Linked DNA regions of Bombyx mori. The protein of the gene in region 2 interacts with the protein of the main gene of each other region in a biochemical or structural test. Links are inferred from orthologs where the notes say so. Each region holds a gene or a part of one and is shown on either strand. Other genes may lie near its edges. The genes, in order: H/ACA ribonucleoprotein complex subunit 4 and protein SHQ1 homolog.

The links.
Region 1: the proteins of protein SHQ1 homolog (region 2) and H/ACA ribonucleoprotein complex subunit 4 are reported together in a solved structure, tested with the Homo sapiens proteins (2 studies listed by BioGRID, with this or other methods). The link is inferred for Bombyx mori from reciprocal best matches to the Homo sapiens genes SHQ1 and DKC1.

What each region holds. Positions count from the first base shown.
Region 1 is NC_085130.1:16,020,177-16,036,001, reverse strand, and holds H/ACA ribonucleoprotein complex subunit 4, read right to left. Parts: upstream 11,896-15,825; 5' UTR 11,658-11,895; coding exon 10,252-11,657; intron 9,045-10,251; coding exon 8,918-9,044; 3' UTR 5,659-8,917; downstream 1-5,658. Other genes in the region: DNA-directed RNA polymerases I, II, and III subunit RPABC3, read left to right, coding at 12,753-13,045, 14,913-15,072.
Region 2 is NC_085132.1:6,841,154-6,858,889, reverse strand, and holds protein SHQ1 homolog, read right to left. Parts: upstream 9,494-17,736; 5' UTR 9,240-9,493; coding exon 7,842-9,239; 3' UTR 7,110-7,841; downstream 1-7,109. Other genes in the region: uncharacterized protein LOC101744633, read left to right, coding at 75-271, 649-706, 1,541-1,730, 3,460-3,611, 4,398-4,571, 5,138-5,292; wolframin, read left to right, coding at 12,208-12,241, 13,005-13,109, 14,708-14,807. UniProt on the Homo sapiens protein: Required for the quantitative accumulation of H/ACA ribonucleoproteins (RNPs), including telomerase, probably through the stabilization of DKC1, from the time of its synthesis until its association with NOP10, NHP2, and NAF1 at the nascent H/ACA RNA.

The DNA.
Region 1 (15,825 bases), on a different chromosome or scaffold from region 2:
AGCTTGGATTTCGTTTTGCTGTGATGTGCTTCCATTGGGAAAGTGTACTTACTACTCGTAGGCTTAGTTTTCGATTATGATGTTTTTTATTTGGAGGAAAATTATTTATTTGAAGTATTTTTCATCGTGTTTGTGCATTTTGGCACTAAACAATATTTATTCGAAATTGTTATAATATTATACGCAACATTACCATTATACCAAACGTAAACAAGGCCGCGCGGTGGCGCATCTACGGTCGACTAAGGGCCTGGCCACAGCTGCCGGCAGTGCGTTTTGCGGTGCGTTGCGAGACGCAGCGAGCGGTGTGATTTGCGGGGGTATTGCCTTAGCTAAACTATTTTTTTTTTTTTTTTTTTAATTTTATGACCTGGTGACAGAGACCTTTAGGTCATATCTTATTTGGAAAATGTTCATTACTTTGGGGTTTAGCTAAACTATTAGCGACGGCGGCCATAGATTATACACTTAAACGGCGGCGGCGTCAGAGGTGCACGTATTTAGGGAGCCCTATCAAATGTCCCTATCAAAAGTGGTACGATTTTACCTTGAATTAAGTGCGTTCGCTGGCTGAAGATATTATTCAATCAAGAATAGGAGCGCACCCAGTTAGAAAAGGAGAGAACTTGGCGAATTCCACACTATTTATTAGGAATATAAGAACTATCCCGATAAGTAGATTATTAATAGAAAATAGGTTCAACATTCACAGAAATTACCAGGTTCAAATCTCAATTTACCATACGTGTTAATTGGTTAATTGGCTTAAAAAATATTTGATGCGCCCTTATCCACCGGGTGGTTTAAATGCGGAATAAATCATTTTCGACAAAAGATTATCCCGGGCAAGAGTCACAATTCAGTACGCGTTTGGTATTCTAACTAATACATTTCGTATTTTTACGAAAAGCTTAAAGGCAAACAAAAAGCACGCGACGTTGATTATAAAGGCGTGCCTGTTACACAATATTATAAGAGAAAGAGATTGAGACAGAGATGCAGATTTTCAGCAGTTTATTTCCCAGTTTGTAGACTCCAATATTCACAATATCGTACGCAGATCAAGACGGAATAATCAAGCAACGGTTCAAGCATCTAGAATACGAAATCAATTCAAAGGACAATGCCCATTTTCTATGGGCGTTTGGGCCGCTAAAAAAAGTTGTCGCGCAATGATGGTTTTAACTTAATTTGATAGACAAAGAAATATCGTTTCATATTCAGAAAACGATTTTTATATTCTCACTCAGGTTTAAGAGAAATCTGTTTTTTTCTGCAGCTAAAATTAAGTTGTTAATTGTTTTCTTCGAAATCAATAATCGCTCTCATCATTATTTACAGTATTAAATAAGTTAATTGTGGTTAACGTTGCTAGAAATAAGCCCTTACGTACATTTTATTATTATTTTATCATAATAATAATAATAATAAAATTAAGATAAAATGAAAATCCGGAAGCCGGCAACGATATTGTTGTTGTTGTTTTTAAATTCGCCAATAATTAGGCAAAGAGCGTAGCTTATACAGCCTATATTTTTTTAATGTCAATAAAAACCCGGTGTATCTCTTTTTATTGCATTTTGGGAGTTTTGACGTCAACTCGATGAATAGCACATTGAGTGAGCGTGAATTTCCGCAGACCTTCTATCTTGAAAAAAAACAGTCACTGCTATGTTAGCCACAGTCTTATTCCAATGCCTCAATAATCGTGAACAACGATTATTGACGTTTAATACATAAAACAACACCCAATTTATATATTAAACATCACAATAAACTATTAAAAAAACATTAAAATAAAACTTCAAGTGACGCTTCACTCGGGTTGCTGCCAAAACTCTCTGATCATATATAATAAGAATAGAGTAATGGTAGGCCATTGAGATTTTTACTAATGGAATCATTAATATCTAAAAATAATTATATAAAGTAATAATTATTATTACAATATATAAATATTGAATTGATCAAAAATAAACTAAAAAGTCTGTGAATTATAACCATTAGCAATTTTTTATTATTTGTTGTTCAAGTTAAAGCAACTCTTTCGTTTGGCAGCATATAGTTTTACTATAAGGCTGCACGGGCTAAGCCCTTTGCCTATTGGCGAATTTAAAAACTATGGCACTCAGTTTTGGGGTGTTATCAAATAAGTAATTTATTTTTTTGTAAAACAATGCCAGGGTGAAAGAAATGTTGATACATAAACTAAACAACGTGAAAAAATAAGGCATAGTTTTTCAAGTACAAAAAGTTTAAACATAAAGTTAGCCCACTTTTGGGCATTGTCCTTTCAAATTTTATTTCAAATATCCTATCCAAGAGTATCTATGAAACCAATACTGCCAGAAAATTGTTGTTTTATAACATGCCTATATTTATGATGTGGATGTTTTGACATCCATATTTCTACTGGTCTACTCAGTACTTCACTAATGAATTGTTCCACAGTAAACGAAAGTAGCGCAGCAGCGGCACTAAATTGCTTATAACTACCTCATTTATGGTCGTATACCAAGGTTTTATATTTTTCAAGGACTATAATACTGCATTCAAAACTCAAAACCTTGGCCATCATCATTCAGTGCTGCTTCTGATCAATAGTTTGTTTGGGTACATACAATTCGGTGATGCTTCTGTCCAATAGCTTATTTGGGGACATGCGATTCAGTGATGCTTCTGTCCAATAGCTTGTTTGGGGACATGTGATTCAGTGATGCCTCTGTCCAATAGCCTGTTTTGGGGACATGCAATTCAGTGATGCTTCTGTCCAATTGTTTGTTTGGGGACATGTGATTCAGTGATACTTCTGTCCAATAACTTGCTTGGAGATATGCGATTCAGTGATGCTTCTGTCCTATAGCTTGTTTGGGGACATGTGATTCAGTGATGCTTCTGTTCAATAGTTTGTTTGGGGACATGTGATTCAGTGATGCTTCTGTTCAATAGTTTGTTTGGGGACAAGTGATTCAGTGAGGCCTCTGTTCAATAGCTTGTTTGGGGATATCTGATTCAGTGATGCCTCTGTTCAATAGTTTGTTTGGGGACAAGTGATTCAGTGATGCCTCTGTTCAATAGTTTGTTTGGGGACATGTGATTCAGTGATGCCTCTGTTCAATAGTTTGTTTGGGGACATGTGATTCAGTGATGCTTCTGTTCAATAGTTTGTTTGGGGACAAGTGATTCAGTGAGGCCTCTGTTCAATAGCTTGTTTGGGGATATCTGATTCAGTGATGCCTCTGTTCAATAGTTTGTTTGGGGACATATGGTTCAGTGATGCTTCTGTTCAATAGTTTGTTTGGGGACATGTGATTCAGTGATGCTTCTGTTCAATAGTTTGTTTGGGGACAAGTGATTCAGTGATGCTTCTGTTCAATCGTTTGTTTGGGGACAAGTGATTCAGTGATGCCTCTGTTCAATAGTTTGTTTGGGGACATGTGATTCAGTGATGCTTCTGTCCGGTTGTTTATTTGGGGACATGTGATTCAGTGATACTTCTGTCCAATAACTTGCTTGGGGACATGCGATTCAGTGATGCTTCTGTTCCATAGTTTGTTTGGGGACATGTGATTCAGTGAGGCCTCTGTTCAATAGCTTGTTTGGGGACATCTGATTCAGTGATGCTTCTGTTCAATAGTTTGTTTGGGGACATGTGATTCAGTGAGGCCTCTGTTCAATAGCTTGTTTGGGGAAATTTGATTCAGTGATGCCTCTGTTCAATAGTTTATTTAAGCGGTCCATTATGAGGTTTCTCATGGCGGGGAATCTCTATAGAGCAGTGCAACGACTAATGATAATCATCATTTAAAAGAAAATTTCACCGTTTCTGACCTTGTTTCTCTAAGAGGTAAGCTGATATTTCTATTATCTACTAATTGATAACATTATACAAAGTTTTTTTTTTTATTAAAAATTATAATAATTCATTTATTTATCCGATAATTTTAAGCCATACACAATAATACATATATAGATTCCCCTTTTGATATTCGTTGGCCCAGTACAAAATTTGATAGGAAAATCTAAACAAAAAAATATTTTATTGACAACCCTACGACTTCAAAATCAGTGATGGGCGTAACTAGTTACTTTTTTAATCTAATTAGTAATTAAACTACAAAATAATTTAATTACAATGTAATCTGATTATATAGTAATCAATTACATTGTAATTAGAATTACTTTGGATGTGAAAGTAATTGAATACAATGTATTTAATTGCAATATAACTAAATTACAATCTAACCTAATTACATAGTAATCAATTACATCGTAAATCGTAATTACTTTGAATATAACACTTGTAATAAAAACACATATTTATATATATCATACATCGATTTTTTAGATAGGTAGGTTTTATGTACTTCAATAAAAATAAATAGGTAAGGCTCACTTCATAGTGAACTAGAAAGGAAGGTGTGCGGAGTGGGGGACGACTGCTTTTTCTTTTCGACTTTTTTTTGTTTTCGTACGCTACTATCATTAATTTTCCGAAAGCCAACCAACCACCTGTCAGACGAAATGTTTGAAAAAAGAGTCCTATTAAAAGTAATTTAAATTATAAATCAGCAAAATAATGTTGTTTAATTTAATCTGCCAATGATTAATTTAAAAAAAATAACGTAAAATGATAAAAGATTATAAAAAAAAGTATATAAATGTGTTTCATTTTTGCGTTTGTCATAAAAGTTATTAGTAGGACATTTTTTGTAAGGTTACCTAACAAAACATAACAGAATAGTTATGTGATCAATTATCAGTAATTATAAGTAATTTGTTTCAAATACATAAGTAATCTGTTACAGTTAATGTAATTAGGTTAACTTATAATTGAATTACTTTATAACTGATTACAATAAGTACTCGCTGTAATCAGTTACTTAAGTAACCTGTTACAAAGTATCTCAATTACCAATTACAATGTAACTGTAATTTGTAATTATTAATCTGATTACTTTTTGCCCATCACTGTTCAAAATTAATGCCGGCCACTGACATGCGCGCAAATATTCGTACATTGTACGAATGCTTGCGCGCATGTGAAGGGCCGTGAAACATTCATTCGCAAACCTAGCGGCTGTGCAAATGGGTTCGCATACTCAATTTGCGAACCCGTTTGCGCTTCCTCCTACACTTGTTTATGAATGTCTCACGAATTTCTCCTTCTTTTTAATTCGTCAATAGAACATTGAAGAGAAAAAGAGTTTTTAACTATTTACCAGATATCATTAACAGCCATGCTGTTTTTATGGGATTTCTTTTGATGAAGATACGCTACACAGTAGACGTCACGAACTATGAAAATGGCGTATAGTATACGTCCGTCACCTTCGCAATCGTCGGCGCAACTGGGCAAGCGAATGTGTGGGAGGCTACGCGAAGGTTCGAGGTTCGCGCGCTTTGATGTCTGTTAAAAAAACGACACAGCTTGGAAAACCACGAATGCAGCGAAAACTTTGCATAATCATTCGCAAATGTCGTCCTACACTTGTGGGTTTGCGTATTCGTGCGCATGTGAGGGACTGGTGTAATATCCAGATTAGTTGTAAATAGTTAATTTACGGGACACCCTGTATATACCGTCTGTACAGACTGGCGTAGTCATAAACTATCTTTAAAAAATACTTGTCAAATCAAATCCCAGAATAAAACAAATTTTTCCTTAAAAATAGTTTATTTCAATGTCACAAAAATCTTCTTCCATTACGTACTTACAAATATAAACTCAAGATGATATTTTACTTACCATCTGACAAAACTAAATACCTTATTGACTCCAAGAGGTCTCAAACCCTCAAATAATTGGATTTATATTGGATTTAAAATTTATATTTAGACTTTTAGAACTTCACTTGAACTTAAGCTTAAATGCTTTTTTTAATACAACTTCACGGTTTAACCTCTTGTTTTTTATTGTCATTTTAAATTAGGTATTTCCGGGGTTTTTTTCTTCAGTTTTTGTGGTCACAGGCGTTTGAATGAGCCGTAAAGTAATTTTATTTATCTTATCTTTCTTTTCTTTACTACTTCCAAGGTCACGAACGACTGAGTGAGACGCAAAGTCGTAAATACGTTTTATCTTCCACCAGTGTTATGCTGTCTATATAATAATATGTCTCATCTATGGTTAGATTAGTTAGTGTTACATATTCTACGAGGGGTAAGCATTTTCAATCAAAGACTTAAATACGTCAATGACATTTAAAATTCTAATCTAAATTTCACCAGCTCAAAATGATTAAAAAAAAAACTAATTCTAAAACAAAGGAACAATATAATTATATAAAATATAGTGCATTTTATTTTAGTTTTAAGCTTACGACACCTAATTAAAAAATTGTCGGCATGCGAAGCGATCAGAATTTTGCAAAATAGATTTTACACGCAAACCCGCGTATAACCTATAATCTAATTTTATTTTTATAAATCTTAACTAAATACAGTCGCATAGATTTATGTATATAATATATACTTATAAAAACTATTATATCTACCATTGTGCCTTTATTGTTGGGAAAGGCTTATTATTATTGAAAAATAATAAAATATATTTACACCCGTATCATAAATGCAATGTTAAGTTATTTTTTTATTGGGACAAAAACACCACAGACTATCCTATCGCCAAACATGGCCTAGCCATTACGATCTATTGCTTGGCAAATAGACTGAATTTATGGCAACATAAAGGATAGATTATCAAGAAAATGTATTAAATTATCAAAATAATTCAAAAATTGGTTATTAGACATGGACAAGAACTGCATTGAAAGATGCCAGTTTTCCTATTAATTTAAATTGTTTTATCGTTCAATAATTTTCTATATGTATTTTGAGGTTTTTGTTTCTGAATCTAAGTTTAAGCACTAAAAAATACAAAAGAGTTGTTAGGGACTTTTATTTTGAAAAAAAAAAACATCATTCCTCATTATTCATTCGTACCACTTATGAACTAATCTTATAAACTATCTTAACAATGTACAATGTTTTAATAAACGACGACAAATTACAAAATTTTAACTTTAGCAATTTGAGCATTGAGTTCTGCAATTTTATGGATTGGAGTTTTAGAACGGAAATGACTAACCTTTTTTTTTGAGGCAAATGATTTCAGCTCGGTTAAAAGAGAGTCTGGAGCAGTTGGGAGTTATTATTATACATGCATACTCTATTTATGTAATGCATATTCATATAAAAAAAATCACAAAAGATTTTGTCGAGTTGTGTGTGGCTAGAACACGCATAGGATTATCAAATTGGATCTGTAACACAACAATAGTGTCAAAGATTACTAACTACTCAATTAAATGTGGATTAGAATATATGAGTCGACTATTATCAAAGCCGGCAATCTGACTTTTGGACAATGATTGGTAAATCAGAAAAACGAATTATTGACTTTGTATTCCATTGGCAGTCACAAAACTCTTCGGAACGACATCTTAGATAATAATAGGTTAACTATTAACCTTTATTTAATGCAGGTTTTGAACCGTATTCTTTGAAGGAGACGATTATATTCAAATCAATCTGTATTGACATATCAATAAAAAATTTTTGTCCAAATGATTGCCACCTTTGATAATAGACGACTCATATATTCTTTGACAATGTTTAAGACTCTCTTTGACACAATAGATTAGACATATAAAAGGGTGCGTGTACTTATGTACGCGCGTAAGAAGATTTACTTTATTTTTATTAAATTTATTTTTTTTTTTTTATTTAAATTTTAATCAATTTGAAAAAAATCGATTAAACAACATCCTCAAACACGCATATTTGACATCCCTTTTCTTGACATCGTATAAATTCGGTAATTCTCGGTACGGTTCGGAAAGTTCACCTGCGGCTATATTCAGACTCGCCAAGTTACGTCGGTTGTATTGTAATGAGCGATTTAGTGGACAACTTCATTCTGTTAATTTTGTGTCACGGTGCGCGCGCATCGTAAAATTTCACTCTCATCAATTTTTCATAACGCGCCTTAAAAAGTATAACTTCAAAAAACAGTATTTTTTAAGTAGTTTACGTGCTAAATCACAATGTAACATATTGCTAAAGTTAAAATATTGTAAACGCCATAGACATTTGTCCATTCCAAACGGAACTACATCAAAATTTGAATTTACTTATATTTTTTACGCTTAAAAGAGAACCATTCTCAATTAATACCATGTCCATTTCTTATGACATATTTATGGGTACATGTTACTTCGTAATTACACTTAATATTCTTAGTGTGTAAAGAAACTATTTCAGTAAAATAAAACATAAAGTTTAGTTTGATTTGAAGTTAATATTCAAAATTAAAATTACTATTATTGAAGTTTCTTGACAACACACAATGTAACCAAATTGTCAGAATCAGCTGAGAGACAAGGTCAAGGCCCTCGTGAAAAGCAGCCATATTGAAATTTAATTAAATTTGAAGGTAATCAGTATTTTTCCTAGTTGCCTAAACTTGCCTTGTTATTAAATGTTCACTTTAGATACTTTTTGAATAATCCAGTTTTGTGTTTAGTTTTCAAAATTTTTCCAATAAAGGGTACCATTTTACCAATAAATTTGATATACTTAACATAGCAGTTTTGTTTTTAAATTTCCATACATATTATTGATAAGAGATGGTGGGAATTTTTTTTCTCTAATTACAAATTAGATTAATTACATTTAATTTTGTGAAAATACCTTCTGCTACGAATATAATACTTATTTCATTAATCTTGTTTCTGTTAATTCAATATGAAATCTCCAACTTTTTACATTTATATATCCGATTATTGTATCACTGATAAATGTATGTCGAATTCAAAAAACGCAATTTCTTAATATAAGCTGTACAATGTTGTCTTTCAAATCTAAACGTAACTCAGTTTAAAATCTACAAACTGTTTGTTTTGCAACATCAAATTCATTCATCAACCTCTTGTTTATCTTTCTTCTTTTTCTTTTTCTTCTCTTTGCGCACAGAATCATCTGCTGGTTGTTCTGCTGTCTCTGGTGACTCCGATGTGTCCATAGTGGCGTCTGCTTCGGCACTGGAATTATGAAGAAATTGAATAGATTGTGTAGAAATGTGTATAAATAAAGCACAATAAGCTAGGGCTTTGTAATCGTACAAACAAGTATATTTGTTCTGCATATGACTAGAAGGGAAAGCTTGAGGACAGACAGAAATAGTTTTTAATGAATTTTCCAGCACCCACATATGCAATAAAAGAAAAAGTTCATCCAGATCTTATAGCATATTTCGTTTATCACTTGTAGCATATAGAAATGTAATTTTGGAATATTTTTGAGAGGCATTAGCTCCAATGTGTATTAGTAAGGTTTAAAATATATATCGTCTTTTCGCATTAGAAGTGTACAATTTCCAAAAATATTCGAAATTGAGTTAATTACGGAATCATTCGGTATCACCAGTATTTTTCTCATAAATACTGTCAAAAGAGCATAGTTTCGTTTTTTTTCTTTAGTTTACCTATATTTTGACTACTATTATCAAAATTAATACATAATTTTATCTTACTTTAAAAGACAGATAATGTAACATTTTTTCTGCAAAGATGATTAATATTAAAAATAGCACATGTCTAACACTCTCCTGTAAAATTAGTAAGTTTTGAGATTATACAGTTTTAATGCGAGAAGATGAATCATGTGAATGTGAACATTGTGTTGTTTTTTTGTAATCTTAATTTTATAAATTTCTTTTTTCATTGTTCTTTCTACAATCATATCTGATGTTGACAGTGGACACTGTGTGGAGTTTGTTTGTTTGCCTATTTGTAACATATTGTTTGTTTTGGACTGTTTCCCAAATAAATAAACACATAAAAATAAAGCATAGTACTGCCACAGTAATTCTCACTATCCAGACATCATTTATTATAATTTGCGTAATTACTGGTAGTAGGACCTCTTGTAAGTCTGCACAGATAGGTACCAGCACCCTGCCTATTTCTGCCGTGAAGCAGTAATGCATTTCGGTTTGAGAGGCAGGGCAGCCGTTGTATATTGAGACCTTAGAACTTATATCTCAAGGTGGATGGCGCATTTACGTTGTGGATGTCTATGGGCTCCAGTAACCACTTAACACCAGGTGGGCTGTGAGCTCGGCCAACCATATCTAAGCAATAAAAAAAAAATTCTCACTTAGTTTGTAATAACAAATCCTTGAAACCAGACACGATAATTGTCTGAATTCCACTACAAATAATCAAAATGCAAAGAACCAGTACTTACGGGGCTTCACTATCTCTCTTTTTCTTCTTCTTCTTCTTTTCCTGCTTCACCTCTATGGAGACATCGGGATCTTCTGCGTTAGCTGTGCTTGCCGTTCGCTTTCTGCTGCCTTCCTCGACACCGTCACCATTCTCCGGTTCTTTCTTAACATTATAGTTGACGTAACTGTTTAACCATTCTTTTGGTGTGTTCTCATTTGGTTTGCCATATTTGTCAAGTTTCCCTTGTTGTATGAGGATTTTTTTCTGTGAGGCTTTCGGTCCGAGACCCCATTTTCTGGGGTACGTGTCTCGTTCCATTATGACACGCTTGAGTTTCGCGGCTACACCATGATCGCATGAGGCCATCGTAGACGTGGTCATCAGAGCAACGGCCAACGCTACTGCCTCACCTTTAGTGGTGACTATTACGATTTCTTGGTCAACTTCGATGCCGTCTTCGTATCTTAAAATACCTGGTAACAGCACTTTGGCTCCGTAGCAAACAGCATTAACAGCGCTGTCTTTGATAAATATCCTTTTGTGAGCAATCAGGAGGCCTTCCAGAGGTTTGATTACTCGACGAAGATAAGTCTCGTCTTTGTGGTTTTCATACGACCATTGTGCATCTAGGATGTCGTGCATCGTGACCATGCCTTCCTTCTCGCCCTGAATGCCGGACCGTACTCGTCTGAGTTCGATCATCTGACCTCCGACGCCAAGCATCAGACCTAAATGCACACACATCGTCCGGATATACGATCCAGCCTCGCAACTAACCCAGAACACCCCAATATTCTTGTCCTGGTCGAAATCCAGGAGTTTACTGTCGTACACCGTCCTGACACGCAGTTGTCGCTTCACGGCCGATATAAGCGGGGGCCTCTGGAATAGAGCTCCACGCAGCTTCTCCAAGCCCTGTGTGACTTTTTGAATATTCTCTACGGCTGAATGCAAGTTGAAAACGGCTACATACTCTTTGCCAGCGTTCTGTTGTGATTTGACGAGTCTCGTGGCGCGGTCTATGCAAACGATAAGGCAACCCGTAACTTTCGGATCGAGCGTGCCCGAATGACCAGTCTTTTCGACTTTTAAAATACGTTTTATCCATGAAACTACTTCGTGGGAGCTGGGGTTGCTCGGTTTGTCGACGTTGATGAAGCCAGATTTGACGTAATCAGAGATGGGGCGTTTTAAAGGCGAGTTGCCGAATGGTAGCGGCGTGTAATGGTTAGTGCGCACATTTAAGCGATCGAAGTTTTTCAACAACAAAGGCCAGTAAGCGGTGTCCAGCTTCTTCACGCTCTCCGAAGGTTCGATTTTGAAGTCGCCAATTGTCTGAAAAGCTCCCAACGAAACACCATCCTTGTTTTTTTTCTTTTTCTTCTCTGAAAGTGTGTCGTTACCGGGCTGCAGTACCTCCGTCATTTTGATGAATTAACACGTATCTTTTCTTACTCTTAATTTTAGGCGATCGACGCAATCACTTGGGTAAACAATGCCCTATAATCGGGCACTGTTTATTGAAAGAACTTTGAAAATATAACACAATGCTCGGCCATATAGCACGTGCGATTCGGTTGAGGTTAGCTTCAGATTTGTTTGCGTATGATTATGGTCAGATGGCGCCAACGTGCAAAGCTCGTTGTGCCAACATTAAAACAGAAAATAATTCGGATACTTGTTAATTTTTTTAACCTTAAAGCAGAACATAAACATGTAATATTTTTATTGGACTGAAGTTTTATACTTTTTCGTTTATTATTGATAATTTTAATAATATTTTGTTAGTTTTTGACACTTAAAAACAAAAACGATTTCCAAAAAATGCCACGAAATATCGTAGTCACTACTTACACTAAAAATATTAAAGAGAAAATGGAACTTAAACGTAGACCGAAATATACATTTATTCAACTCCTAAATTTCGTACATTGTCTTGGCCTATTTATCATTAGATAGGCAAAGAGAACTAAAACTATGCCGCCGAATTTTTGTAACAAAAAACTATATTATTATCGACAAGGAACGTACAATGGAATAATTTAAAGACAGAACCCAATCCCCTCAAAATCTTAACCGTCCAACAGAAATCCATCAATTTCATAGTTGGGAATTTGCTTAAAGTCCAACAGAGATTATGGTAGACCCAAAAAAATAAAAACTATTTAACATCTTGTCCTTCCACCAAATCCTTATCAACTTCTTTCACTCTCACTTTAAATAGGAACTAACTAGTAAAAACAAATCTAAGTAGTCCAAATATATAATATAGGTAAAATGGGATTCTTTTTTTCAGTGTGAGATATTCCGTCAAAGTATCCAAATATTCAGTACCTATACTTCAAAAAAAAGTCACACTTGACATTGACATTTATTATCAATGTTTTTTTTACATAGACCTATATAGTATTTTTAGTGCCGTAAAATTTCAAACAGCAACAGAGTCAGCGTGCTTCTTTCTCATACTGTCCGTTGTTGATATTGTTTTAGTAAAATAAATTCACAGGATAAAACTTGATCATGGCGGGCGTGCTATTCGAGGACATTTTCAACGTCAAAGACATGGATCCGGAGGGCAAAAAGTTCGACAGAGTCAGCCGATTGCATTGCGAATCGGAGTCATTCAAAATGGATTTAATATTGGACATTAATTCTTGGATATATCCAATGCAACTAGGCGAAAAGTTTCGTCTAGTTTTGGCCACGACGTTGAGGGAAAACGGATACCCTGACGGCGGAGAATGGAACCCTCTGGAAACCGAAGGAAATCGAGCAGATAGTTTCGAATATGTCATGTCCGGAAAAGTATACAGGTTAGTTCTAACATAAAGGTGTTGTAGCGGCAGGTATCGTACAACAGAAGATATTTTACAGATGCAGTTAGCAATTATACAATTTCCTAACGATCATATTCGGAACGTCGAACTACCGAGCAAAATCATGTCCTCAGTGGAAATCTTTCCTTATAATGAAGCTACCTGTCACATTAGCTCCTCAATTTGATGTTGAAGTGGATGAGAGCCGAAAACGGCTCAGTGGTGTGGATTGGGAGACGCCCATGCCCAGCAGGGGACGCCTTGGGCTAATGATGATGGTGATGGTGATGATGATGAACACTTGTAATATCTATGTGGTTATAAAGTCTATATAAACCAATTTAACAGTATTATGAGTTTTGTACATAGGCAGAGTGGCACCTTCCTACAATATGAGGTACCACCACCACCTGGAATCAAATAAATCATAAATTTTGTGGGTTTCGTCATCATCGTCAGCCCACAAACGTCAGAACACAGACCTTTCCCATGACTCACCTCAATGGCTGGTCCTGTGGAGCCTGCATCCAGCAGATTCCTGTGACCTTTAGCAGGATATCAGAAAACCGAACAGAGCTGCCCACTCTCCCGGTGTACTATGGCCATTTGTGATCAATTTAAAAACTCACAAAATTTATCCATTTGTGATATTTCATTGCCTACCATTCATACTTACCTATGCGATTTGAACACTGGCAAATTTCATCCCTTAGTATGAGAATACAGTGTTCGATTTGTGATTTGATGTACCCACCAGATATGAAAATCTACAGATAGCCAATAGGACTAAAAGCAACTCCTAATTTGAAATAGCTGCCAAATGATTAATTAGTTCTCAATTACAAATTTAACGCAAACTCAACTGGGTTACGTTTAGTTAAGGTTATGTTTAGTTAAGCAAAAACAATGATATACTGTTTGTGTTACTATTTATGCTCCTGTATCAAAAATTAAATATATTCTTGTCCCTGAAGTAGTCTGGCTGATATCAGTGGAAAAGTATTCCATTGGAACTACTGCAAAGTAATCATTGTTGGACTAATAATTGTTGTATTTAATGCAATTGAGTGTACAGTGAAAGCTCTTCAGAAACCGTGAATATGGAATGGTAATTTATATATATCGGATTATAGAGGATACATTCCTAGGTGACATAGTAAAAAAAGTCTTTAGGCATAGTTGTGATAAGGTCTATTTTACTTTTTTATTTGTCCATTTGATGACAAATTTTCAAAATATGTTCAGTTCTATACCTACATATTGGAGTCCTTTTTATCAATGTGTCGAACCCGTCGCTTGCGATGAAGGGCTCGACGAGCAAATTAACCCATAGACACAGCCCACTGAGTTTCTCGCCGGATCTTCTCAGCCTGTCGTGTTTCCGATCCGGTGGTAGATTCTGCGTAGCACTGCTCTTGCTAGGGCCAGTGTTAGCAGCACTCCGGTTTGAGCCCCGTGAGCTCACTACACGTTAGGGGGAAGCTGATATAGCCTCTCAAGGCTATCAGCATAGGAAAGAATAAAAAAATTAAGCAATTTTTTTTTTTATTGCTTAGGTTTGTGGACGAGCCCACAGCCCACCTGGTGTTAAGTGGTTACTGGAGCCCATAGACATCTACAATATAAATGCGCCACATACCTTGAGATATAAGTTCTATATTCTCAGTATAGTTACAACGGCTGCCCCACCCTTCAAACCGAAACGCATTACTGCTTCACGGCAGAAATAACCGGGGCGGTGGTACCTACCCGTGCGGACTTACAAGAGGTCCTACCACCAGTAATAGAGGTCCTACCACTAGTAATAAAAGCGTATTAAAAAGTCCATATCTATTCAACAATACAAGTGCTCTTCTTATTCCAGGATAGAAGGTGACGAGGCAGCGATGGAGCCGGCATCCAGATTAGCGGCCTACGTCTCGTTCGGTGGCCTCCTGATGCGGCTGCAAGGGGACGCGAACAACTTGCACGGCTTCGAAGTTGACCAGCACATGTATTTGTTGATGAAGAAATTAGCGTTTTAGTTCTATTATATTATTTGTAAAATTAACTCTAAGAAATAAATTTGTATATTTTTAAGCATGTTTTTGTTTTTTTTTTTCTGATGGAGAACAGCGCCCCTAGCGGCAAACGAAGGGACCCTGTTCCAACTCCATACAAATTTGAGTTAACTTTTACGTGATCAAGAAGTTATTAACTCGCTCTAAGAACAATGGAATGTACAATGCTTATAATTTAAAACAATAAAGACGAGACGATTTTCTCCTACCTTGTATAAGCGGCTGTGTATTAACTCAATGTAATAAATTCATTGTATACCATCTGTCTGTAATTCATTTGCAAATTGTCAAGACGTTTTGAAGTCTGTGGAAATTACGTTGAAAATTATAAATAGTATACAGTTCAAGCTAATAAAAGTGTAATCCAGTTAAATATTGCTCTCGTGAGTGTATATGTAATGTGTATACAATAAATTTAATGTTTATTGAGTATTGATTATAATAATTATAGTGCTTTAAGAATCCTGAAAAGAGCTTATTAAGTTTCGTATCAACAAAAAGGTTTTTTATTTTATATATTTTAGCGCCATCTATTATTTAATAGGTAGCAAAAAATAGTTGAACCTCCAGGAAATGTTCGCAGCAAAATAAAAATATATAAAAAACATTGAAGTTGATCATCGAATCATAATATTGATTTAAATTTATTGTATGCAGAAATAGGGTTGATTTAATAATTTAAAATATACAATTCTTCTATTGACTACATAGTACATA
Region 2 (17,736 bases):
GTACTCACATAAAACTAGGTGGGTCGTGAGCTCGTCCACTAATCTAAGCAATAAATGAAAACCGATAATTTTAGGAACTGCATTCGGTGTCTATACCAATGAAGACGAAAACTTCACCAAAGCGTACATGTCAGCTGTAGACGAGATATTAACGATCATCACAAAACGCTTCACTCGAGTTTGGCTACAGATTGATTTTATATATAATTTGACGAGCATCAAAAAAAGGGAAGACGAACTGATTCGAATTGTCAATGAAATGTCGAATAAAGTGAGTCATTTACATTTTTCATAAGATTTAATTTAGAATCGCACCACAGCGAAGTACAGTTCATCCTTTCCATCTAGAACCACAGAGCTTTTTTGCGTCATACGATATTGGAAAAGAGCTCTTTATTAGGCAGTGGCTTGGTTGTGTCCCTGATATTACCAATGTTCACGAGTGACCCCGACACTAACAATAATAGGTGCTTTTAATTACCATAAGAATACATTATTAACAGGCCTTGTCAGTCGTAAAGCAGTCGCCCGTATTATTTTGAAGGTTTGCAAAAAGTGTTTACTGTGGAATGTGTAGTTACATAATTTGTTTATAATTTTTTGTGTATATTTTAATATTTTATTACTGTTATTTTTTATTTTTGACAGATTATTGCAAGAAAACGATCTGAGCTGGCATCAGGCGTAGCAGCGGCAAACGAAACAGGTCAAGAAATAATATCATCATCATCAGTATCCTATTTTTTATTTGTGTTAGTTTTTTTAGTTTGCGATTGACTTGTAACTGTTCTATATGTAACTTTATTAGTACTACTGCCGCTGTGGTTCACACTTCAGAGACATGGAACCTGTTTTTGTTATAGAGCATTCTACATCTGACGTAGTCCTAGTTAAAAAAAAACGGTCTTTTTCACACAATTAGCGTCACAGCGGCCGGTTTCCGCTGGTTTGATTTAATGTGTTTATTTTTATTGGTCATTAGAGCTCACCGTTCACATGGTATTAAATGGTTTTTCTACAATTAAACATTAGAAAAACTGTATTGGAATAACAGCTATCCATTCTATCACAGTGGAATTTCAGACTATGCACGATGGAGGCATGTAGGATCAATGCTAAAGTTGGGATACATATTCAATCAACCTGTTATTAACTGATCACCAGGATTATAAGTACCATCATGGAAATCTTCTACCATCTTGAATGGTGGGGTCGAAATCAAATATATTGACATGACACCTACGAACCAGGATGGATGATGCTTTGCGTCAAAAGTAGGCAGGATGATACTACCCGCATATGCGTGCTCAAAATATTCTCTACCACCAGTAAACGTTCGTTGGCGAGACGGGTAAATTACTCAGAGAACGCTGTCAATAACTATTACAATTCTCCGGTCCCTTAGTCGTTTGTCACCATGTCTCTATGTAAAAAGGTGGATCCATTCTAAGTCAGCATAGTTTAAGTTCGCCGACTACATCATAACGAAGTAATTTTACACAAAACCATTTGTTTCATGTTTTTTTTTAATCGATTGCAGATAATAAATATCAAGGTCTGTTGGATCTTATGTTGAAATTAGCTAAAGAAGACGCTCTAACAGACCAGGAAATCAGAGAGGAAGTTGACACAGCAATTATGGCTGGTTTCGACACTTCCTCGTGGATCCTGGTTTATGTACTTGTAAATTTGGGATCGTTTCCAGAAGTTCAAGACAGGGCTTACAACGAGTGAGTAACTAGTAACTAGTAACTAACTAAGAGATGATAAAACCATTTTTTTCGACATTTTTGTATCACATCACCTAAGTTTTTTTTTTTTATAGCTTAAATGAGTGGACGAGCTCACGGCCTACCTGGTGTTAAGTGGTGACCGGAGCCCATAGACATCTACAACGTAAATGCCGCCACCTACCTTGAGATATGAGTTCTAAGGTCTCAATTTTAACAGTACAACGGCTCCCCCGCCCTTCAAACCGAAACACATTACTGGTTCAAGGCAGAAATAGACAGGGTGGTGGTACCTACCCGTACGGACTCACAAGACTTCCTACCAACAGTAAAGAATTAAATCTATTAATGAATTAAATACACACCATATGAGAATTAGAGTTGAAGCGAAATTAAATTAAACACTAACGTTGCAGCATTCAAGCGTAGTAAGTAAAATTAAAACAAATTTAAAAAATACACAAAGACATTCCAATAATTTTTTTAATATTGTGCGACAAAATTATTATTGCTTTTTTATAGTCGTGGCAGAGGATTAAGATTAGTCACTAGACGTTTATTAAGTATATGCCGGTACTAATTTCCACGGTGGCGACTCTAATAATCATATCTAAGCCGGAGAAGACTTCAATAATTATGCAATAATACACAACATTAAATTTTCATAATTTGTGATAAATTATAAATGTTTAACCGTTTTAATGCGGCAAAAGATGAACTAAATCTCTTATTGTATTGAGACTTTTGGCTTTGTCGGACAATTTTTAATATAAAATCTTGTTAATGAAATCCAAAGGTACTAACTTATAACAAAATACATAGTAAGATAATGTGGCGTGTAATTGGTATTACATCACGTAGGTATGCGGATGGAAAATGGTTTAAAGCTATGAGATGCGATCCGCAGACGGTAGCCAAATTTTGGCGGCGCATTGGAGTTCTAATAACACAGCTTGAATCAGAAAACAAAACTCTTTACTCACCTGATGTTCTCGAACTCTTCTTCAGCGATAAGATTCCTTAATTGCTTATGAGCGGTGAACGGACGCGAACACTTCACAATATTACAATAATTGAAAGTTTTGATAGGATGGGATAGCGGTGAAAAAACGAGTTTTATTTAGTTTATTTTTTTAATGTTGCGCGTTGCAAATAAGCGGGAATGCGAATGGCGGGTGCGCTAGTTCCAAATTTAATGTAATGTTCTTTGGTAATCCATTTCTTGAAAATATTACGCCTTCAAGGAGGATTCATTGCGTCCCAAAGAGGCGGAATCACAAACTTGTAAACTCTAAATGCATAACTATATTAAAGATAAAACAGTGCTCATCCACAGCCGTCTTATTTGAATCGAAGTTTAAATAAAAATAAAAATTCAAAGATTATGTTCGACTCCATAAAATCTATTTCTAGTAATAATATCACATTTAAACGAGAATGACAGGCTCTAAACTGAATTCAATTCATTCATTAATATAATTCTTTTGTAACATATTTTACTGCCAGAATTTTTTATACATTATGTTAATCAGTGAATAGCTAATTTTTGCACTCTTTTTACCTTTTTAATATTAAACACGCTAAACATTTGTTTTAGCTCTCTTTGTCATTAATATCTATGAAATCAAAATAATATTATACATTACATACATAATCCAAAAGACACATCATTGCTGTTAAAAAGCTGTTATTTTAGCTGTCAATCGCTGATATCATACGAATGTTCCAGGATCATGGATGTTTTTGGTGATTCAGACAGAGATCTAGAAAAAGAAGACTTATCTAAACTTGTTTACACTGAAGCGGTCCTGAAGGAAACCATGAGACTCTATACAATGGGACCGGTTAGTCTGAGACATATCGAGGAGGATGTCAAACTTAGTGAGTGCCTGAATAAATGTTTAATTTCAAGTATCTAGTCGAAAACCTTTCATGTTCTGCGACTGAACTGCCTTGTTGAACTGAGCACGGGTTTTTTTGGCGGGAACTCGAGGAGTGAAGTTGTGTGATTTGTTTTACTTTGTCTATTTAGTGTTTCTTGAAGTTAAATGTGTAATAACGGTAGTTTATGAACAATATAGTATTTGCGAAAGTGAACAAATGTGGGAAAATGAAATAAAGCCGTTGAACGTTACTTCTCGGGATCCTCCAAAAAGTCCACTGAAAAAGTCTTAGTAAATTACCACCATTTTACTGAGATTATTTTTCATACCATATCATCTCATCTCATTTCAGTTTATTTCGTTTTCATTTCATTTCGTTTCGTTCAAAAAACTGATTACTTGACGCTGGCTAATACACAAACCGTGCCGGAGCCGAAAAATAAAGAAGAAGAAGAAGACCTGACCATTTTAGATGGAGCTGGCATAGCCTCTCGAGACTACCAACATATAAAGGCAAAAAAAAGCACCAGTAGACCGCGGTGTGTGAGGTTTAGGGTCTGGCGAGAGAGACCCAAAGAGACGTAAGTGTAAGTTGTCACGCGTCTTAAGAAAGACAAACTGGTGACGGATGATCGCCTTCTTAAAATATCATCACTCCTTGCCCACGGGCTGTTGCTAGTTCACTAATTGAGACTAAATATGTGCCTATGAGATAGTTTTTTTTAAATCTTAATTGTATAAAAATACGAAATAATCTTATACTTTATTAAACGGTTTGTTTTAGAAAATTTTACACTTAAAGCTGGAACTGATTGCTCGATATCATTGTTTGGTATAAATCGCCACACAGTGTGGGGTGAAGACGTTAACGAATTCAAGCCTGAACGATGGTTGGATCCCCAGAAAATACCTGATAACGCCTTTGCGGCTTTCAGTATTGGCAAACGAAGTTGCACTGGTGAGTACCTATATTTGACTACATTATTTTGTATTGAAACATCAACACTTTATTTACTTAAGTCGTTATTCACGAAATGTTTATTATAGTAAATTTTAGTTTTATACCATTTTTTGTAGCAGTACCCAACATTTTTTGTCTATTCTTTTTTGTTTTTTTGGTTAATTTCTTGTTTAGACGGCTGAACGAGTTCACGGTCCAGCTGATCTTGAATGGTTACACGAGAGCCCATAGACTTCACCACGTAAACTGCCGCCACTCGACTAAAGCAATTATAGAAATTAATGGCTATACTACCCTTCAAGACGGGTTTGTGCTTCCGTGGCCGCTGAAGGCAGGGTGGTGTTATTCGCCGCTGCGAGCTCATAATATGCCCTACCACCAGTGTTTTACTGATAAGTAAGTAAGTCAAGGTGGGTGGCGCGTTAACGTTGTAGATGTCTATGGGCTCCAGTAACCACTTAACACCAGGTGGGCTGTGAGCTCGTCCACCCATATAAGCAATAAAAAAAAAGTCATAATTACTCATCGAGTACCTACTTTAGCTTAATTACTTGTTCCAATAGGCAGAGCGTACGCCTTGACGCTGATGAAAATAAATCTAGCGCACCTTCTACGGAAGTACAAAATCAGTGGTGATGTAAGCAAGTTAGATTTCAAGTTCAACTTTATCATAAAACCGATATCAGGAAGTGAAATTGGGCTGGAATACAGAAAATAATAATTTGATAAAGAAAAAAGATGGTGTGGGTTTATTTATTAAATTTAATATCAAAACCGATTTGTTGTAGTTTTATTTAAGTAAACTCTCTTATATTATGACCCTACAGACACAGGTCACTGAGTTTCTCGCCGGATCTTCTCAGTGGGTCGCGTTTCCGATCCGGTGGTAGATTCTGGGAACCACTGCTCTTACTAAGGCTAGTGTTAGCAACGTCCTCAGGTTAGAGCCCCGTGATCTCACCAGGCAGGTTACGCTGGCATAACCCTCTAACGTTACCAGCTTAGGAATATATATACATATTATATTAAATTTTGAAATCTCAATAGCTCTCCTGTAAAGTAGCAAAAATGCCCCTTAAACCAAATAGCTTTTCACCCCTCGATATACCTATACCATATTAAGATCAATCTAGAAATGTTTACGAGACAAAAACAATTACAACACGAAATGATGGGCCAACTACCTAAATGCTATCAGTGTCATTCGCGAAACAGCTACTCTTGAATTGTTAAGTCTCCTTTGGAGGCGCTCGGGTAGCTGGTAGCAAATCCCACTCTTCCTGGCTGAGCCCTTGCTCGCTCACCTGCCCTGGTAAAACTGGAAAGGCCTCTGGGCCACCAGTAATCTCTCAAACATAAAAAAGGTTAGGTACCTATCAGTTTTTAAGGAAAAAAATTTATTCATAATTGAGCATTATAACAATGTTATTTATTTAGCCTTGGTGTAGACAAGAAACATCGCAAAGACGGCCAATCGCAATCAAGGGACTCTAGTCGGCGTGGCAGGTTCTAATCTTTAGGTATATAAAATGGTTTATTATTAGGAGCCATAAATTACGTCACACGAATTTTAGCACTTTTTAACCTGTGTGTTTTAAATGTGAGGTCACATATTTTTCATATTTATGCTTGTACTTAATATTAGTGAAAAGAAAAGAAGTCGTCGTGGCCTAAGAGATAAGACGTCCCGTGAATTTGTGTTGAGCGATGCACCTGTGTTCGAATCCCAAGCGGGTACCAATTTTTCTAATGAATTACGTACCTACTCAACAAATGTTCACGATTGACTTCCACGGTGAAGGAATAACATCGTGTAATAAAAGTGAAACCCGCAAAATTATAATTTTCGTAATTGCTGGTGGTAGGACCTCTTGTGAGTCCGCGCGGGTAGGTACCACCGCCCTGCCTATTTCTGCCGTGAAACAGTAATGCGTTTCGGTTTGAAAGGTGGGGCAGCCGTTGTAACTACACTGAGATCTTAGAACTTATATCTCAAGGTGAGTGGCGCATTTACGTTGTAGATGTCCATGGGCTCCAGTAACCACTTAACACCAGGTGGGCTGTGAGCTTGTCTACCCATCTAAGCACTAAAAAAAAAGAGTTATTTTCGTTTTCTTCTTATTTTTATTAATTATTATTTAATCAAGTCAACATACCTTAGTCAAATATGTTAGATAACAGAGAAAGGAGCTGACTTTTTAGTAAGTTTTTTAAATCTTAAATCGTCACGTAACACTTGTGACCCCCGGCCCTATGTCACACAATATCACATTCTGTTGATAACCTGCCCCATAACGTGTGACGTAATTTATGGATGACGTGATCTGGAGTGATGTCAAGGAGCAAGCTCAAGACAGGGTCAAGTGGAGACGCAAGCTCAAGACAGGGTCAAGTGGAGACAACTTGTGAGGGCCCTATGTACCAGCAGGGTGCCCTAGGACTACAACAACAACAACAACAACAACAATCTGTTATGGCTATAACTGCCATAAAAACTAGAAACTAACAAAAAGAAAACTAGTAAAATAAATGTGATATTTTATAAACAGTTATTTATTTCACGAAAATGTCAATACATAGATAATTTTGTTTATTAAAAATGTTCTCATTTCTCAACGATTTGGTTAATCAGTTTTTAATATGCTTACTTTAGACTACACTTTGCAGTCAGTAATCGATCATTGATTGCTAATCTAGACTTAGAGATACATGATTAATTTTCTTGAAAATTGAGAAGAAACTGAACACTACTATAGTTTTGCTTAACATAAATAATTGCCTTCTTTAAAAAATGGCAGTGTTACATTATAATAAAATTATTAAATTTCAAGTACCTATGCAGTTTGCAGGAGGCAGTGTGTAGACTCTACAGCCATGCCTATCTTTGCCACAGAATAATAGTGGCTAGGACATTCTATCACTTCAAATCAGGTGGGCTGTGCATTTGTGCACACAACTTTCAAAATAACATTGAAAGTATTGGTTATCAAATGTCTGAAACTCTGCCATAGGTTAAATAGAATTTAATGATGAATTAATATATAATTAAATTTTTTAATTATTATAGAATCTTTCAAACCTTTAAACCAGCCCTTTATTCTCTTGACACTAAACTATTCAGTCTTTCTAACATATTCAAATATCTTAAAATTTATAAAATAAATTCATTAATTGATTGCATGAACCAAATTAAGTGCAATCAAAACATGCAAATTCACACTAATTAGTGTCTTTCGAGAATTGAATTATTTACACTCCTCTTGTTTTTCATGGATCATCATCAGAATCTAGGCCTTCATCAGAGGAATCTTCAGAAGAACTATCATCACTTGAGTCCGTTGAGCTGTCAGTGTCATCATCACTCTCATCAAGGTATGGAGCAATATTCTTTTTCAGTCCCGGTAGTAAAGACATGGAAGCCATTTGGACGGCCATCTCATTCTCCATGATTTCAGTTTCTTCCTGTTTAACCATTTCAGCAGCCATTTCCAATTCATCTAACTCTAAGTTCAAATCTTTTTTACAGAGCTCAATATTAGCTATATTATTGCATATTTCCATGATTTCCTCATTACGACATTTTTGTAAGAACACCAAATAGTCTTTGATATAAAGCTGGTTTAAGATATAACGTGCATCATTACTAGTGTTGAACATTTGATGTACTTCAATCATACATTTTATTACCAATTTCTTGCCTTTACGTAATAGTGATACTAGATCATTCTTTACTTTGTTACACAGCTCATAGTTCCTAAATATCGGATAAGTGAGTGCTCTCCTGTAGCATGCAATCAAAACATGTCTTGTATCTAAGAAAGTGCAGAACCAACTTAGTGTTGAAGAAAGCTTGTTTATGGTCCAGCTTGACTCCACTGTGCTTTCATTTAATGTTGTTCTTTTGTCGTAGCAATACCCAAACAAGATATCTATTAATCCGAGCATAATTTCTCTATACTCTTCTTTGCTTAGCAAATAATGCTTGTTTGGCAATTCTTTTAATATGGCTACTTCTTCATCTGTAAATTCTACTTCATTTTTGAAATCCCCTTTGTCCCAATAAGAAGTGGATGATAAGTAGGGTGCAAGAAGTTCATCATCAAAAAAGTCTGCTAGATAATGATCAGACGAGAATTTATCATTTTCATGTTTCATCCTCATAGAATTACGTTCGTCCACAGCAACATTTTCAGGTGCTTTTAATTCAAAAATTTGTGGAAATTCATTTCCGATGCTGCAAAATTCATTGGATATTTTATTAGCAAAGCCATATGTGAATTTTTCTAAGTTCTCACTGTCACTATCATTTTCCAGGGTAATTCCATCTTCTTCAAGCATTTCAACTAGATTAGGATTGACATCTGGTATATCACGAGGTGCTAGTAAATTTGTGATCATATCAAGGTTCTCAAAATGTTCCCCGGCAGTTTCTTTTTCAAATGTGAGATTGAAGTCTCCCGAATCACAAGTGTATGAACCTTTTGCCCGATCATCATCAACGATCCTGCCAGGTAATCGCAATCGAAGGAAGTAAGGACTAGACACAAAAAGGAAATTTTCGCCATCAACATCTATTTCTGTATCTCCAATGTTTGTATACGGTGCGTGAACTGTTACGAATATGTGGTTGTCGTCTTGCGTTAATTTAAAACGTGGAGTAAGCATGATGTATACTATTGATCTTCTAGTCAGGCACCAACTGCCTTTGTTTAGTATTAAAACTGATTGCGATGCAGTCAAACAATGGACTGATTCACAAAAAAGTAACAAGTTCGTTACTTCGGTACCGTGGACTTGATATATCTTAAGATTTAACCCTCATAAAATAATTAGGTAGAAGCTATTTCGTTAACAAACAATGAAACAACGCATGGTAATCCCCCTCCGGCATAACGGAAACATCCGTTTGACATTTGTCATTTACATTTGACATTTACACTAATCACTGAAGATGCGCGATACGTATCGACATTATCGAGTATCGATGTAGTGTTACGCGGTGCACGAAATTTTGTTTCGATAGAGTATCGAACAATGCTATAGCAATGCATATCGAATCCAACGTTGATTATATGATGATGCATAATCACCAGTTTTCAGAACTATTTAAACTTCACTATGATTATAACCGATACGTGAATATTTTAAGGTTGCATCAGAACGCTACGTCGACAAAGGGCCCGACTAACCCACTTATCGTAGTCACTGCCAGTTACTTTTACGATCCAGGTGACGGCGCAACTTATAGCCGCTGTCATTCCAAAGATGCCTTGTCGGATCGCCCGAATCCACTCCAGGTGCTTTCAGGCTCTTCAAGCAACGGTCACCGTTTTCATGAAACCTCAATTTCGACGAACAGTTCGACGACTGAACTAACCCATAGAAATATCCCATTGAGTTTCTCGCCGGATCTTCTCAGTGGGTCACGATTCCGATCTAGTACTATATTCTGCGAAGTGCTGCTCTTGCAGCACTAGTTTTATCTTGTTTTAACACTAGTGTTAGGTGTAAAATTCTCTTAGGTTGAGCCCATGAGCTCACCTACCCATCTGTACATAGCTATAATAGCCCTTTAAGCTGAAAGGACAATGCTTTAAAATGGTCGTATCGGTCTTTGAGACTAGTAGTAGGATCCAAGCTAAGAACATAATTATCGTCATTTATTAATTGACGCGACGTCGTTGCTTTTGGAATGCTTATTTTCTACAACAGAAAAAGGTAAACGGTCTCGATATTTAGTTTATTTTATTTTATAAGCACTATTTGTAAAAAGGAAAACATCGTCTTCATCAATAAAAATTGCCATTTTTGGCCATCTCTACTTAAAACCAGAGTATGTCAAACTTATTTTTATTTCTTTATTCACTCTTGATTATGCAAAGGAAACATAAGCTATAGATACCGTGCAGAGTTACATGAAATGAAATAACATCTCAGTAATTTGGTAGGAAATTATAAGAAGTTCAATGCAGTTGAATGAATTTGAAAGAACACTACAAACAGCGTTCCGTGATTTTGTTTCAAAATTGTGCATTTTCTTAAATACTAAACGTTTAATAAGAAACTAATATTACACGTTTACAAGATGCACCAAATAACATAACATAATCATAATAATAACAAAATAAAACAATTCAGATTATTTCCTCGAGTTCCTAGCTAGAATTCTTAATAGTTTTTCATTTTGTTGAAAGTAAAGTACATACTAAATGCAACATTTCAACTGCAATTGAAACATTTCAAGTATACTTTGCTACTGAAAGAAATATACGTAAGGTTGAAACCAAAATGAAAGTAACAATTAAACTGGAATGAAACGAAATTAATTTTATCAACTTCTTGGCAAGACTCAAAAATAAAATCACTATATAAATAGAAATATGTACTATGTTTGAGCCTCTTAACCTTTTTATAATTCTAATACTTTGAGTCCACATTGTATGCTTTCGTCAAAAAAGAAACCAATATTGACTTCCTGATCAATTTATCACAGCAAGTGGGTCACGATGTCCTAATCCATAATACTTATTCTTTGCATATACGATTAAGGCAATTAGGAATGATAGTTCGCTTGAATGCTAAAATAAATTAATACCTACAATGTCGTTGTTTTTTTGAGAATTTGGATAAAAATATACATATTACTATTTCATAGCACTTTTATCTGAGCAAGGTCACATAAATGTTACTTAAATTGTATTGTAAAATGATTTTTTTTTATGGGTGGACGAGCTCACAGCCCACCTGGTGTTACGTGGTTACTGGACCCCATAGATATCTACGACGTAAAAGCGCCACCCAACTTGAGATATCAGTTCTAAGGTCTCAAGTATAGTTACAACGGCTGCCCCACCCTTCAAACCGAAACGCATTACTGCTTCACGGCAGAAATAAGCAGGTTAGTGGTATCTACCCGCGCGGATTCACAAGAAGGCCTACCACCAGTAACAACAGTACACAGTTGTAAAATATTTGAATTACTGCCACTATTATTTTTGTAGATAAAATTGATTGTCTTGATTTTAATTTCTGAATTTCCATGAACTTAGGTCAATAACCGGAATAAGCAAGTTTCAAATAGAACAAGCTGCTACAAAATGAAAATTAGGAGAACCGAAAATAAACAAGGAATCCCTTGTCGAAAAGTTTGTCTATTTTCAGAACACGTTAGTTTTTTTCTTAAATGAGTGCATGCGTGTGTGGGCGATCGCGTAGGACTTAAATTTAATCATAATCCACACACACGGTAACTTTCTACAATATAGAATCACGTTTACAGTTTACACCATTAAAGCATAGTACCTAGGGAGACAGTCAACTGAGTCAAGTAAAAGTGCTATTTAAATTAAGTGTGAGAGTATAATTTTAAAACATGCATTTAGGTTTTATTTAAATTATGTTTCCATGAATTTGCAGTTGCAAAATTTTCCCAAGTCAAATTTTAATGACATTGACAATTGACACAAGCATTGAGATTGAAGCAAAAAATTGCGAACCGTCTGTGCGTTTCTTACTAATTTTCTAATCAAAACAAACAAATAAAACTATTTTTAGATAAAGCAACTATTGTGGATATATAAAATATATTGGAAACCTTTCATATTTTTGTGTTTTATAAATGAATTAAAAGGTAATGCCCGGGGGACGCAAACGGTGGAATTTACATGGTAAGTCAAAATTCTAAACTCAAAATTTAGGAGTTTATTGTAGGGGCACAATAATTAAATTTAACAATGATTGATGAATTAAGAAAACTGATTATGATAGCGAAAATTCATCATTAACACATTTTTAGTTTTCCGATTGACCTTGTGAATATTCAAATTTAGTAAAAATCGGTAACTATTTTATGCATTTATTTATTTAATTTTATAGTGTGAATTTTGCAGCTTAATATTAAATTGTTGTAAATAAACATTTGAACCCTGACCCCCGCATATATTTGCTTATTATTTATGTGTGTTGTCAGTAGTAAGTTTCTTACTTTAGAAAGCTTAAATATCACATCATCCATCCATTAACATCTTATTCTAGTCCTGTTGGACATATACTATTACCAAGTCTTTTTATGCAACCTGATTCTGGGCCTCATTTATAGCCATTGCCTGCTATTCCATGTATATCATCATTCCACCTTGTTACTAGGCACTGTACACTACACTGTAAGTGCATAGAAGTCTCATTGTTAAATCCTTTGCAGTTGTCTAAGATTACCATGGTTCTTTGCTGTGGTGGCTGAGACTAGACATATGACTGCAAACTGCAAAGGGTGCAGCTGTTTTAGTGGTACAATGAAAACATGCCACATCTTGAGACAATTTTCTTTTAAATAAATGTTTCCTTTATTCTGTATAATTTACTTATATATACTTCAAATGTCATACATAAAGAATGTACCTTTAATACTGTTGAAGAACGATCTTGTTTCAGATGGACCTCAAGGGTCACTACGTCGACTTAGGAATCAGTTAGCTGAGGATGGTTGTGCTGAATCTCAAGTGGTACTGGCTAAACAGCTCTTGGAAGAAAAATGTGGTGAGTGTAAATAGTACAAGGTATAAGAGATTACACTAAACAAAACATTGCCAAATATCAAAATGTCTTAACATAAATGGAAAATCATTATCAAATAATATGACATATTATTGGCCTGGAATTCATTCTCACACTATAACTCCAAGCCAGGTCTACTGTTGCATAACTAAAATAGTTCAGAAGGAGGTCAATGAGGCTAGAGCATGAACACAAATTTTGGTCATCATCTCTATTTATATATGTATATACATAATATCTATAGTGGGATCCTCTATTCAGATTGAGCTAATAAAACTGTTGATTGTTTCACACAAACTTGATTTGGATTCCATCTTTATTATAGCAAAATAAATAAAATATACATATCCTTCGTCTTCCGAGTAACAACATGTCTTCCATTCCATCGAGTAACTACCCTCAGTCCTTCTCTAGCTTAAAATAAAACGATATCTAAAACATCCATTCGCAGTCTTTCTTAGCTTTTAACAGGGCATCTCCTATCTCTCTCAGTCAGTCATACTCCATATCTCTTATTATCCATCTTACATACATATATAGTAATAATCCATATGTAATTAGCTGTTCTATGATTATTATAATTGTAATAATAAAATAAAAGAATAAAAAATAAATCTGAAAACAAAGTGAATAATTTAGACAAAAATATGGATAAAGTTAGTTCTAACGGCCGTCTGGTGTAGTGGTAAATGACATGGTCACTACACAAGGGGGTCGCGGGTTCGAATCCCGCCAAGGGAACATATTTGTATGATAAATATAAATGTCTTTTCCAGGGTTGTGGATGTATATTAAATATAATGTATGTGTATAATAAAAATCTTACATTTATATCCGTTATCTGGTACCTGTAACACAAGTTCTTTACAAACTTATCACGGGACCAGTTAACGTGGCGTGATTGTTAGTAATTATTTATTTATTTATTTATTATTATTATTTATTTATTTATATTTTTTACAGCTATTTACAATTTAATCATAAAGCTATTCTGTTGAGTGTGTTATTAAAATGTACTAAATTTATTTGAAACACAAAAAAAAGAGATGTTAAAATGGTTTGGATTTAACCTGCAATATTGATGTAATCATCACGTATTGTATTTCCTCCAATTGCACAAAGATATTTGAACAGATGTAGACTGAAATGATTGCTTAATAATTCTTATTAAACTCAATGAAGTAGGTATAAAACTTTCGATTTGACATTGCTCTGAAGTGAAGTTATTTAAATTTTACGTAATTACTGGTGATAGGGCGTCGTGTTAGTCTACACGAGTAGGTCCCACCAGGTAGGTGCCACCCTGCCTGTATCTGCGGCGAAGCAGTAATGCGTTTCGGTTGAAGGCTGGGGCAGCCGTTGTACTGTAAAAATGGAGACCTTAGAACTCATGTCTCAAGGTGGGTGACGGCGCTTACGTTGTAGATGTCTATGGGCTCGAGTTACCACTTGACACCAGATGGGCCGTGAGCTCGTCCAACCATTAATAAATAAAGAAAGGCCTAAAAAAGGTCTAATAATGCGTCGCTAAACCAACTTTAAGCTTGTTCGAGTTGGTAAATAAAAATAAAATGTTTCAGAGCTTGAGGCTGACAAGATATCAAATTTCAAACAGGCTTTAGAATGGCTCATATGCGCAACGGAACAAGCACACCCGGAAGCAAGGAGGCTTTTAAGAAGGTTAGTATAAATTTTTTTTTGAAGGCTCCAAAAAAACTTTTGTTAATAAATTTTTTTATATTTTATTGAAGACTAGCGACCCGCCCTGGCTTCGCTTCGGTAACATTAAATTTTATAATTGAGCCCGAGTGAGTCGCGCGATGTCCCGCGACGTTACCCGCGGTTATTGTCGTATCGCGGGTGACGCTGCGGGGCGAAGCTAGTCTAAAAAAGTAGCCTGAGTTACTCCTTATGTTATTAGCTACCTACCAGTGAAAGTCCCGTCAAAATCGGTCCAGCCGTTCCAGAGATTGGTCGGAACAAACAGACAGACAGATAGACAGACAGACACACCAAAATTGTAAAAAATGTTATTTTGGTGTATGAACCGTATATATATTCATATGCATGTAGTAAAAAGAGGCTATTTCAATATTACAAACAGACACTCCAATTTTATTTATATGTATAGATTTGACGGTACTTAACACAATATTCAAATGTTGACAAGTAACACCCGAGTCGTCCATGAAATGCCCACGAGAACTGTAAATCAAATCAAATCAAATCAAATCAAATCAAATCAAAAAAGTTTTATTCAACATAAATGAAAGTACATACTTATTGAACGTCAAAAGAATTACCGCCAATTCACAAGAATTAGCCTCCGTCCTGAGAAGAATTGGCAAGAAACTCAGCGGGCATGTTTTTTTTTTTTTTAATATTAGATTTTTATTTTTATATTAAATATTTTTTTTTTTTAATATTCATATTACAATAAGTAATTATAACATAACAATTTTACAATATTGAAATTCCCGGAGCGAGCAACTCATTCCCACTTTGTGCAATCTTCTAGATAATCATTGACTTTATAGTAAGCTTTATTGCACAGATGTTCTTTAATAGTTTTCTTAAACCTATCTATATGTAGGTTCTGAACATCTTGTGGGATTTTGTTGTACAGGCGCACAGACAAACACCCGAATGAATTTCGTATCTTATGTAACCTACTCATCGGCACAACAAGCTTGTGTTTGTTCCTAGTATTTCTATTATGTATGTCCGACATCTTAGGAAACTCCTCAATATGTTTACGAACATACATCAAATTTTCAAAGATGTACTGGGATGGCATAGTGAGAACTTTAATTTCTTTAAATTTTTCCCTCAGGGATTCCCTTGAGTGCATGTTATAAATAGCACGTATAGCTCTTTTCTGCAGAATAAATATCATTTCTACATCGGCCGCATTGCCCCATAGCAAAATGCCATAGGACATGACACTGTGGAAGTAACTAAAGTAAACTAAACGAGCCGTGTCCGCATTTGTTAACATTCAAATTTTTTTTACTGCGTATGCTGCAGAGCTAAGCTTACTCGCCAATTTATGAATATGAGGTCCCCACTGCAGTTTGGAGTCCACTGTTATACCAAGAAATACGGTTGACTCAACAAGCTCCAATGATTCCTCAGAAACAATTACATTACTATCTACTTGTCTCACATTTAAAGATGATTTAATACATTTTAAAGTAAATTTAATACATTTCGTTTTCTTACTATTCAATAATAGGTTATTGATACGGAACCAATGAACCACACACGAAATCGCATCATTCACTTCGTCATAGACTTGTAATTGTCGTTTAATTTTAAATAATAAAGATGTATCATCTGCGAATAATACGACCTCGTGTCGGGACTCAATAAAACTAGGCAAATCGTTTATATATATTAGAAATAAAAAAGGACCCAAAATGGAACCCTGAGGTACACCCATTTTTAACGTGGTGCCTGAAGATCTATTTCCTTTCACATCTACTGTTTGTATCCTTCCTGATAAATAGGAAGTAATAAGTTCCAATGCACCATCCCTAATACCATAGTGATGTAGTTTCCTCACCAATGTTTCATGTTCAACACAGGTAAGTAAGGTATTCGTAATGTCGGTAATAATAAACGCGATATTAAAACCGTGCAACTAGTCTCAATTATGAATAGAGTGCGGAAAAGCTGGTATATAAGTAAATAAAAATGATGTTTTGTCGCACACGCACGATATGTAATATAATATGTTTGAGGGAGTCTGAAAGTGGCACCTGTGACAGAGAAGTTGAGAAGTGCGCGATGGTATCGACATGTGATGAGACGAAATGAAAACGAGGTTGGTAAGAGAGTGTTAACTATAAATGTGGAAGGATATAGAGGAAAAGGTAGACCCAAGAAGAAATGGATGGATTGGGTGAAAGACGATATGTGTAAGAGGGGAGTGAGCGAAGAAATGGTAGATGATAGAGGAGTATAAAAAGAGAAAACATGTTGCGCCGACCTCAGGTGACTGGGAGAAGGGCAAGAGAATGATGTTTTGTTCGCACAAGCTAGAAGTGAATGCTTCAGAAGTATTCTATCTCATTCTCGTAGATCCAATAGATATGGTTGTCTCTTTTCAGTGTTATTTCCGTTTCTTTGATTTTCAAATTACAAAAGCGTTAAAGAAGTTTTTACTTTAAAAAAAAAACATAAATTCACTGTCTAATCAACGGATTAATCAAAACTGTCATGTGTCATAAAGCATTTTCATGTCGTTTGTTAAAGAATAATAATGTTTTTTTTTCTAAATTCGTCTGACCACTGTGAACAATGAAATGAGGTAATTGCTTTGAATATCTCGCATAGCTTAAAAATAAACAAACAAACAACTCGATTATATTGAGTTGTTGTTTGAGAGATGTTCATTGCACGATGTAGTGGACATACCGCCAGCATTGTTCAAACACAAACATATTTATTATTTTTAATAGCGTAAAGTATAAATGAACTTCGATAGTAATGACTTTGTCGTGTGGAAGATTAAATGGGGCAGAGTACATGAGGAACTACAGCGTTCTACGTGAGGTTTTTTTTCTTAAATAATAGAATTTTTCCCAATCTTTTAATTTACGTCATT